Drosophila melanogaster: one gene and its partners. The protein of the gene in region 1 purifies or fractionates together with the protein of each later gene. This does not show direct contact. Each region holds a gene or a part of one and is shown in the gene's direction. Other genes may lie near its edges. The genes, in order: Rtnl1, CG9010 and Syn2.

What was found.
Region 2: the proteins of Rtnl1 (region 1) and CG9010 purify together in Drosophila melanogaster (affinity purification with mass spectrometry, with the first as the bait; 2 studies listed by BioGRID). This does not show direct contact.
Region 3: the proteins of Rtnl1 (region 1) and Syn2 purify together in Drosophila melanogaster (affinity purification with mass spectrometry, with the first as the bait; 2 studies listed by BioGRID). This does not show direct contact.

The regions. Positions count from the first base shown.
Region 1 is NT_033779.5:5,008,075-5,011,829, reverse strand, and holds the start of Rtnl1 (Reticulon-like1), read left to right. Parts: upstream 1-2,109; 5' UTR 2,110-2,454; coding exon 2,455-3,649; intron 3,650-3,755. Other genes in the region: SelT (selenoprotein T), read right to left, coding at 1-418, 495-640; Tfb5 (transcription factor B5), read left to right, coding at 1,064-1,098, 1,157-1,343; CG31917 (uncharacterized protein), read left to right, coding at 1,398-1,853.
Region 2 is NT_033778.4:16,958,464-16,962,218, reverse strand, and holds CG9010 (uncharacterized protein), read left to right. Parts: upstream 1-2,023; 5' UTR 2,024-2,123; coding exon 2,124-3,155; 3' UTR 3,156-3,276; downstream 3,277-3,755. Other genes in the region: CG6665 (uncharacterized protein), read right to left, coding at 3,535-3,755.
Region 3 is NT_033778.4:16,552,654-16,556,408, forward strand, and holds the start of Syn2 (Syntrophin-like 2), read left to right. Parts: upstream 1-1,933; 5' UTR 1,934-1,964; coding exon 1,965-2,039; intron 2,040-2,105; coding exon 2,106-2,255; intron 2,256-2,314; coding exon 2,315-2,600; intron 2,601-2,665; coding exon 2,666-2,830; intron 2,831-2,951; coding exon 2,952-3,136; intron 3,137-3,191; coding exon 3,192-3,350; intron 3,351-3,415; coding exon 3,416-3,640; intron 3,641-3,699; coding exon 3,700-3,755.

The DNA.
Region 1 (3,755 bases):
TTCGGTGAACTGCAGATGGTTGTCGATGATTTGAAAGAGTACCTCCGGCGAGGGAAAGCGTCCCGTCTGCAGTTTCGACCACACAGGCACATCGTTTAGTGTTATCTCGAAAGCGCCGGACGAGATGAGCTGGGCCTCGAGCATGTTGCCCAGGAAGAAGATCATCATGCAGGCGTATATCTTGTTAGCCTGCATGTGGCTCCACCAACTGGGCGTGTTCAGGCCAAGGAAGGTGAACGGACTGACCGCACTGACCACGGACACAATGATTATGATCTTCAGGGCGAATATCATCTTGGAGAGGTAATAGTTTAGACCCGGCGGATCGTAGTTGCCGCCATTCACCTGAATTTGCGGATACTTCTCGCCCAGCAGGCCCACGTAGTCCTCGAACGCCTTGCGATAGCCGCAGGAGTAGCTATTTGGCGAATCAATGGTGAGAAACACAGAGGTCATTGTTATCAATTATGTTAATTGCCCCGCATATAACGCACCAGTAAAGGAAAGTCATCGTCGGCGCTATGTTCTGTCCGAATTTGGTAACCGGTATCTCCTTCTCGCCCTCGGCGAACACCAGGGCGTATCCGGCGCACAGGCACAGCACCAGTAGTGCCACATTCCTTCCGGTCAGCCTTTCCATTGCGTGCTTATGGTCTGATTTAATTAGGAATTTAATTTGGAATTCAATATTTCCTCACACTTTTGCCTTGGTGTTTGTCCGTGTGACTGGCAAATACCCCGCTACTTCTGTCTACTTTTCGTAGTGAGTAGCACTGATAGGGCTGGCAAAATAGCTATATTTCTTAAAGTACGAAACTTCCGACGGTGAAACTAACATAATATAGTTAATATCGGGTGCTGGTTTAAAGCAATGTGTTATATTTCGTTGATTGTAAATATTATATTGCCATGCTGAAATTATTGATTAAATTATCAAGTAAAGTCAAAAAAATATCGATAGTAAAGACTGCCACCTCTAGCCTACGTTTCACTGTGAATATGTCATTCAGCTCTGAGAATTGGTGAGATTGTTTATTAATTTCGGCAAACAAATGCTGGCAACATGGTAAATGTTATGAAAGGAGTGCTGGTGGAGTGGTAAGTGGTATACGTTTGGTATGCGTTGGTTTCGCTATATTCAACCCAATCCCCGCAGTGATCCTGCTATGAAACAATTCCTGCTGCACTTGGACGAAAAACTGGCTCTGGGACGCAAATTCATTATCCAGGATCTGGACGAGAACCATTTGTTTATCTCCACGGACATTGTGGAAGTTTTGCAGGCGCGAGTGGACGACTTGATGGATCGGATAAGCTTTCCGCTGCACGACAAGGACGCTTAGAACCTACACAACCCATAAAATCCAATAGCCAAAAGTAAAAACCTAAAAACAACCATGACGGGTCGCGAATCCAACCGCATCAAGGACGCTGAAAAGAAGCGTGTCCTGGACTCCACAGCCCGCCAGCGGCGTGCCCGCAAAGCCTTGGAGGCTCTGGAGCAGGACAACTACCACGATGACCCACACGCCGACCTTGTCATGTCCAAGAAGTTGCCCAAATTCCAGGACAGCCTGAAGACCGGCAAGGAGAAGAAAGGCAAGCGCAAGGGCGCCGAATACTTTCTCGTCAAGTATCGCAAGAACTTCCAGCAACTGCTCGAGGAGGACAAGGACAAGCAGCCCAACTACGAGAGCGCCGCAGCGCCGGCTCCACAAAAGCCACTGCGGCATTTCTGCGCCGTTTGCGGCAACTTCTCGTTGTACTCGTGCACCGCCTGCGGAACGCGATACTGTTGCGTTAGATGCCTGCAAACGCACCAGGACACGCGCTGCCTCAAGTGGACGGCCTGAGCATGGTTGTTATGTTTACAAATAAATCAAACATTAGGCATAACTGAATTGCGCGAAGTTTCTGGAAATACATACAACAAATTTTAGCTGTCGTGAATTTTAGCCAATTTGCCAGAGCCATTGGGTTAATGTCATGGCTAAAGATGCCGGCAACATCAAAACTTTGGTTCGAAACATGGCTGTTCAAGGTATTTGTCCATTTTTAGGCAATTATGCTGTGAGCGTCATCGATAGTATCGACCGCTGTGCCACCTCTAGCGCAGGTCCATTGAAACTTTTCAAACGTCTGCATCGACGGCGCCTGTAAAAGAGTCGCTGTGGTTCAAATTAAATTCAACGTTCCCGAGCACAAAACACTGCGAATTGCGGCCTTTTAGTCACCAGAAGGCACTTAAGTCGGCTAAAAAAAATCATATTAATTTCAACCGGCAAAATCAGCTGTAGCTCGGTGCCTGTGCGTGTGTGTGTGGGTGTGTCGTGTGCGTGCGTACGTGTGTGTGTGTGCGAAGTTCCAATCAGAAGGCCAGGATATTCAAACACATCTGTGAAAATTTCTTATTGATCACAAGTGTTATATTTTGAAATCAAAACACTGTAGAATATGGATCGGAACTTCGACGAACTGAAAAAGGAGGCCGCTGCCACCAACGAGGACATCTTCAAGCAGGCGCAACGTGCCTACGAAGACTCTGCACTTGGTGGCGATACTGGCAATGTGAGTGGTGGTGCCCAGGACGATAATGCCCACACGGAGCACTACTTCGCCAACGAGCAAAAGAAGTTGGACTTTGGCGATGCGCAGGAGTTTGTCCAACGCCTGGCCGCCGACGCTAAGGATGCCAAACTCGATTTGGACACCAAGTTTGCACAGAAGACTGATGATTTCGAGGACTTTCTGCGCGACGCTGGCAAGGAGGTGAAGCAGGGCATCAGTGGACTGACCACCGACTTTATGAATGCCGAGCGGGGCTTCTCCGCTCCCCTGGCTCCATTCTCAGAGACGGTAGCTCAAGCTCCGGTTATTCCAGCACAAGCTCCAGCTGTTCCCGATCATGCTCCGGCCGTTCCAGCTCCAGTGGCGCCAGCTCCTGCTGTCCCAGCTCCGCTTCCTGTCGAGGAGGACCTCCTGGGCAGCTTCACTGACCAGCCATCGGCACCACTCCAGGCCTTCCAGCCAACGGCACCGTCCACGGCCAATTTCTATGACGACGAGGAGGATGACTTCCTGGGCAAGCCAACCACTGCTGCCCCAGCAGCTCCTGTCGCCCCATTGACCAAGGCCAACCAGGATTCCGACACTGAATCGCCGTCCGTCTCGTACACACCATCGCCGGCCAAGAAACCCATTGTAGATGCCCTCAAGGATCAGGACAACGAGAAGTTCATCTCGTCGGAAGATCTGGCCAGCGATTTTAAGGAGGAGCCACGCTCAGCACCCACACCAGCACCCGCACCAGCTCCCATTCTCGATGCTGCTCCAGCTGTTGCTCCTGCTCCAGTGGCAGTACCAGTATCAGTACCAGTTGCCAAACCCCAGCCGGTTCCAGTGGCTGTACCCGTGACAACCGCTTTGATAACCGACCTGGATGACGAGGAGGTGGTGTTCAAACCCACTGTCCAGGAGGCGCCGAAGGCACCCACCATCGCCGCACCCGTAGTCGAGCCGAAACCAGAGCCACCCAAACCCAAGGTGGAGCCGGCCAAGCCGAAGGTTGTGCCAGTGGCGCCAGTTGAATCGACCCAGCCGCAGCCAAAGATTGCGTCCGTCGAGGAGATCTTCTGCAAATACGGATTGGGTGAGTCTAGCCACTGCAAATAGCAACTAGTCAACACCAGTTATCATTGCGTTTCTAATTAATTTGTTGTGTTCCCGTCGTCATTCGAGTATTATAGTACACCGTC
Region 2 (3,755 bases), on another chromosome or scaffold:
CTTTGTCCTTCGCAGCTGAAAAACATATAATAAAACAATTGGCACTTCCGCAACATTTCGCAATCGATTTGTTTTCCTCTTCAGTCAGCTTAAGCCCACTGTTCTGCTTTAATGCCAGCCACGGTATTAACTACATTTATCCCGCTTGTAGACCAACTTTGGTGGAGCTCCTGTTCCGGCCAACAAGTTAAAGAGCCCCTGGAGGAGCATTTACCATTGATCTTTTATGTGCGCCAGCACACGAAGAGAAATGATAACCGGAGTGTTATTATTTATTAAGGTAAAGATTTAATTCCCTAGTCCAGCGGCTATAATTCAATAAAATTATATTTATCAACCACAGGAGCAGTGTTGTTTGCCAAATAATTTTAAAAGATAAAGTACACCATTATTTTTTTTTACCGTGATTGAAAGTAGTTAATATAAAAAGAGTATCATTTCTCTTAATGTTGGGCCTTGAAAAACTGTGATTAAGATTAAGAATGTTGTAGCAAACACGAAATAGTAGATAGTACTTAAAGTTGAAGTCTTTAATATGGCCAAAGGATACTCGTACCCATTACGAAGTTTAGGTATCCGTTAGCAGCAATAACATGTCACCCCTCAATATAATTTATGGTTTATCTTCTTTGGTGTTTTAATTACACCTAACTCTACCATTATGGATTCGTGTTTAAATTTATTCCATATATTCAATTTTTCAACTCTTGGTTGAACTCTGCTTAAGCCGCTCTTAAAATGGGATTTGCATCCTTTGCTTATGTGGCCCATTTCTCAGCGGGCAAGTTTCAAATTTGAAAGTTTTTCGCATAAATTTCAAGTAGCACTCGCCGGACAAGCAAACTGGAATGAAAGCGGAGACTCCAAAGCAAACAAGCTGGCTCACAACAAAGTTGCAAGGGCTCCGGGCCCCCAACTTAGAATCCCCCACTGCTCGACCGGAGTACATAAAATAAACTTCAATTTGATGGGATTTGATGTGGGGCATTTAACATTTACGACACCTTCCAATCTCCAGTTCAAACATAAATGATACATTGAATCGGGGCTGGCGCTATCCGGGGCTTGCAACTGCGGGTCCTGCGATTACTGCAACAATTTCGTAATCAGCGGCGGCCCCAAAATGGAAAACCCACCACACAGGACCCGGAGAGCCCAGTTTTCCGTGCCAAATCGAGAGAGAGAACAAGAGATACAAGAGGGTCCTTGCGCTCAGTTGACTTTTTTCTGCGGGGGCGTCCCAATGTTGCCAGCAACATGTTGCCAGCAACATGCCAGCCGTCCTGCTGTTGCTTCAGCATCATAAATATTCAACAAAGTTAAGTTGTCATAGCTAGTTGAGGACCGATTTCCCACACTCCACACCCCCCGGAAATGCCGACAGCAGAGTGGGGTCTCTGCTAAAAGCCGAACGAATAAAACTTCAATTCAATATATTTCCAGCCAAGTCATGGGCCAAGGGGCAGATGGGCATGGAAATTTCTACGGCTGATGGCCGTCATCTGGTATGCCCGAAAAGTTAGTTACATTGGTACTTTCAAAGGGACTTTCCTTTTCTTTTTATCGACCACAGGAAGTAAAACAAGCCAGTTAAAATTAAAGTTGGACTTTTCGACGTATTGAACATTGTACATGCATCATAAAAACCAACATACATATGTAGGATCGATTTCTTATGCTTTTATCATGTTCATTTCAAATTACTTTCTTACAGTGTACCAAAGGGTGGGGTCCCGAAGGAGCGAGGCATTCCACACAAAGGTGAGTAATGACCCTTGAAGCTGGATTTTCTATGGACGTGAATGTGTGTGGGCAGCAATTTGGCAGCCACACCCACTTCCTTGGGACTCCAGACAATTGGGATTGGGCGTTCCCGAAGGTTATTGTAATTTTGTTTCGTGAGAAGCTTTGGCAGGTGGTCGATTTCGATTGATTTATACCCGGCTGTGTAATTATGTATGTATGTAGGCTATCCATCTGGGATTCATAAACTGGAAAGATCTAGGGTAGCCGGTAGCCAGAAATCATTTTCATATCTATCTTAGCCTTCCACATAGTCGAACTATTATATAATACGTATAAAAAACCAACAAAATTTTCAACACTGCAAGTCGAATTCCATTATGTCCGGTATTGGCATCAATGGCTTTGGCCGAATCGGTCGCATGTTTGCCCGCCAGGCTCTAGTTCGCAAAGATGTCAAGATCGTGGCAATCAACGATCCCTCACTGGATCCCAAGTATCTGGCCTACATGCTGCGATACGACTCCACTCATGGACAGTTCAATCAGAAGATCTCTGTCGACGGGAACAATCTTGTTGTTAATGGCAAGAAGATCCAGCTGCTTAAGGAGTCGGACGTCAAGAAGATTAAATGGTGCGACCTGGGCGTGCATACGGTGGTGGAGTGCTCCGGTAGGTTTACCACCCTGAAAGCCTGTCAAGGTCACTTGGATAGTGGGGCCAAAAAGGTGGTCATATCGGCACCATCTGCCGATGCTCCGATGTTTGTGTGCGGAGTGAATCTTGAGGCATACAAGCCGGGCACAGCAATCATCTCGAATGCCTCATGCACAACCAATTGCCTGGCGCCGCTGGCCAAGGTGGTGCACGATAACTTTGAAATATGTGAGGGCCTTATGACCACCGTTCATGCGGCTACAGCTACCCAAAAGATCATCGACGGACCCAGCAGCAAACTCTGGCGGGATGGACGCAGTGGCATGACCAACATCATACCCGCATCCACGGGAGCCGCTAAAGCCGTCGGCAAGGTGATTCCGGATCTAAACGGGAAGCTAACGGGTATGGCTTTCCGTGTACCAGTTCCCAATGTCTCGGTGGTGGACCTCACCTGTAGGCTTTCTAAGCCCGCCAAAATGGACGATATCAAGAAGTGCATAAAGGCTGCATCCAAATGCGAAATGAAGGGAATCCTGGGGTATGTGGAGGAGGAGGTGGTGTCCACCGATTTTAACGGCTCACGATTTGCATCCGTCTTTGATGCCAAGGCCTGTATTGCCCTAAACGATAACTTCGTCAAGTTGATCAGTTGGTACGATAACGAGACCGGATATTCCTGCCGTCTCCTTGACCTAGTTCTCTATGCCCAGTTGGTCGACCAATGCGATGCGAAGGAAAAGGGTGCTTGCTAGATGGAAGATCCATGTAAGAAAAAAGGATGATCCCTGCAAGAAATAGGAAGATCCTTGCAAGAACAAGAAATAGGAAACTCTTAGAAAAGAATTAAAAATTTTTTTAACCAAGTCTAGATTTATTTAAATTAGATTTATATTTAGAAATCTTTATTTACTTAAAAATTAATGTAATGTAATCCATTTTACCATAGTTTTAGGCGCAGATTTCATATTTTGCAATTCTTATGGGCTAAACTATAGATAGCATAGGATGCAATCGGCTTTTATTCGCCCTTTTTCCAACAAATAAATAAAGAACAAAAAAATGTATACCCATATTTTCCTGGCAGACATAAAAGCCAATAAGAAAAAGTGACTGAATTCTTTGGAAATTGTCTTAGACATTGCTGGAGTTCCGCTGAAACTGCATTGATGATATACTCTTAATCTCATTGTCCTCCATGACACCTCCATCACTGCTCTGATGGTGGTCCGCCTCTACGATGATGTCATCCAGTGTGGGTGTCTTAATTCTATTGCGTATGATGAGATCTCTGTCGGAGGGTGCTTGAAGATGAAGAGGATTTGTGGCTAGCTCGGCGGGACCATCGCCACCGC
Region 3 (3,755 bases), on another chromosome or scaffold:
TGCGGTAGAATTGTTTAGCAAACACACACATAAATTAATAATCAACGTTTTTGGGCCTCGGGCAGCAAAAGTATCGGTTATGCGAGGGTGTGCGTGTGTTTGTTTTACTTCACAGCCAGAGCTGCAAAAAAAAAAAGAAAAGTTCAATCGCTGAAACTTCAGGCAAAACAGCCCGAAACGTTTCGCCTGCTGCTGCTTCTGCTGCTCTTTTCGTGGCTGTGGCACAGCTGATTGTCCAAGGCCTCACGCCGAACATGTTGGCTTGTTTGGTTTGAAGCTAAGGACCTGCACTCCTGGACACCTCCCCACCGAAAAAAAAACCAGAGTACTCTGGGCCTAGCTTCACGGTTTTACGGCTCTGAAGCACGCACCCAAAAGGGCAGCGCAGCGTGCACACGTAATAATAAAGCCATAATCAAAGGTAACCCGGGACAACGGAGCGTATGCGTGTTCCGCCAAGTCGGTGGCCTGACCAGCAGCTAATTGCTACGACACGCGGAATGCCAAGGATTCAGGAATTCATGGTCCAAATATTCGACACTTTTTGCACTCTGCGAAACTCTTGCAGGCAATATAGAACATTCTGGGTTGATAGATCTATTTTTGTATAGATTTTGGAATGTATAATTTACCTTAATTATAATTATTTTATGTTGCTTCAGTAAAATAATTCCGTTTTTATATATTTATTTTTATTATATTTTCAAAAACTCATTGTTGATGACACGTAAGCTTAGGCCTAAACATTTTATTATGATTTTATTCCTTTCATAATTTCATTAAAAATATATAATAATTTTTTTAATTAACAATAATAACAATTGAATTCACTTTGACCATGAATCAGATCGCAGAAAACGTTTAAAGCGAAAGTGTTTCCCCTCGAATTCAGAATTTCTCAATCTCAGATGGCAATTTAGCTGGCACCATATGCACATATTTGGCGCTCAAATCGAACCCTCCCCCCCCCCCCTTCAAGAACTCTCAACCCCCCCTAGGCAAAACACCTATTTATGGAGCACAAGTGGTTATCCAAAATACATATTCCACCCTCCCATTCCTGAGGAGCAGTTGCGGCCACACTTCGGCACTCAGCACCAGGGAAAACCACAAACAACGTCTGCAGATGGGGCACACTTCAATGTGTTTTCACTCATATCTAGTTTTCCGGTAGCATATTTATTTTCCACTTTAATGGAAAACATATGCCGTGGCATCAGTTCGTAGAAAACGCACTTGGCCAAGGTATGCCCATGTATCGTTTCCATCTAGATATGCCTTCTATTACATTTTGCGGCAGCCTGATTACGCTTAATTGTTTCTAATTGCATGTGTAATTTAATTAAGGCAATTGCACAGTTCACCTTGAACTATCGGCTCATCGGTGGGCCAGTGTGCAAACGTAATTCGATATGCGATGATTGCAATTGCGTTGCTTTCGCCTTACTGCTGTCTGCTCAGTGGAAAAATAAAATGGCAATCGATAAAGGCCACGGAGCCGGCTTCCCGATTTGATTGCAGTTGTTTCGCAGTCCATTGCCATGGCCACGATTATGTTTAAAAATAAAAAAAAAAAAACGAAAAGTTCTCAGAAATCGCTTGATTACACTGGGCCAACTTGATTGGCGGCCATCCGATTTGGTAACAAGGGTAGACATCCCGTTATTGCCACAAATCAGGCAACATTTCAACCTTTTCAGACCCTTTGCTCTAAATTATTCATTCCATTCAATCAATCAACGCATTTAATTTAACGCCTCTAGAAATATTGATTGAGCTTTAAGTATAGTCAAGATATCTTGAAGATACATTTTGTTATTATTATAGCAAACTAATCTCTAGAAATCTCTAGAGTTCCTGGATTTTTATTTTATTTTGGTTCATAATTCATTTTTAAATCCTATCACTTTAAGCACGTTTCCCATTTAAGATCATAAATCACACTCAAGATCCCTCTTCTCTGAATGATTTCAGGAATTATGAAGCTCTCTGACACCATGGCCACGCCTATAGAAGAAAAACTCGACCAAAACCTGAAGGTAACGCAAAGATTCTTCATATTTATAAATGTATATCTATTAAATATTAAATTATTAATATTTTAGGTGCGAACTGGAATGGTGCACGTGAGCGATGGCAAGAGCAGACCAGAACCGCTTCGACTTAATCTTACCATGGAGTTGCTTTCGCTGCAGAAGCTGGAAGTGGTAACACCAAGTAGTTGTCACCCCAATGGACCACCCATGGAATCAAAGGTATATATATATTTTCCCCTATAACATTTAACTTATTTATGAAATAATTCATCTTTCAGGAACGTATGGTTCAAATTACGCGCCAAAAACAAGGCGGCCTAGGACTGAGCATAAAAGGTGGCGCCGAGCATAAACTACCCATTTTGATATCGCGTATCTATAAGGATCAGGCTGCGGACATAACGGGCCAACTATTTGTTGGCGATGCCATCATCAAGGTCAACGGAGAATACATCACGGCATGTCCTCACGATGATGCCGTCAATATATTGAGAAACGCTGGCGATATTGTTGTGCTCACTGTTAAGCATTATCGCGCAGCCACGCCTTTCCTTCAGAAACAACGTGAGTAGCAGTGGGCTAGCATAGCACGATAAATAAGGATTGAATAACCCTCCTCAACATCCCAGTGACCAAGGACACACCCGACTCGGACAACGATGTCACATGTGCCGAACTGAAGGCTGACGAGGGCTACAAGTCATCCGTCAATAGTGGAACCATCAGTCGCAGTTGTAGTCGCCCCATGTCAATTTGCTCGGAGCCCGAGAAGCGCTGGACCGACGTGGTTGCCGGTGAGCCTTATTTATAAATAGGTTAACAAATTGTTCATTGATTATGTCCTAAGATAACAGAAATGTATCTCAAATCTTACGTACAGAAATGCTAATCAATTCATATATTTACACCTTGCAGTACCTCTAATGATGGCATATGTGACGAGGTACATCTATGGCACCGACAAGCTGCGACAAAATGCCTTCGAAGTTCGCGGTCTGAATGGAATTTCCACAGGTGTCATACACTGTGACGAACTGGCCATACTTAGTCAGTGGCTGAAATTGATAACAGACAATGTTGTGGGCCTGACGCATTTACAGGTAGGAGAGTTAAAGGCATATATATTCATAATTTAATCAATTGTGTATCCAATAGATGAAGCTATATAATAGAAACTTTGCTGTGGGCGAGCGCATTGAGTACATGGGCTGGGTGAATGAAGGTGTCATTAACAACAATATATCGTGGCAGAGCTACAAGCCCAGGTTTCTACTGCTCAAAGGCACTGAAGTGATGCTCTTTGAAACGCCACCAGTGAGTAGCAATCAATTGCGATAAGTTTCGATTATCTTAACTAATTTTTTCTATTAAATTATTAGCTAAATGTGGCTGGCATTAGTAAGGCTTTGGTGGTCTACAAGGTCTACCAGACCATGTTCCGCATTGTCAAGGAATCGGAGACCGTGGATAGTCGTCAGCATTGTTTCCTGCTGCAAAGTTCGGGTCATGAACCGCGCTATTTGAGCGTGGAAACCCGTCAGGAGCTTTTGAGAATCGAAAACAGCTGGAATGCGGCCATTGTGACAAGTGTCATCAAACTGGGCGTAGGTTTACACTTATATCGCATACCTTCACTCTCTAATTATATGTTAATTTTCCTCAGCGTAAGACCTTTGCCGTGTCGCATCATGGAAAAAGTGGTGGACTCACGCTGGACTG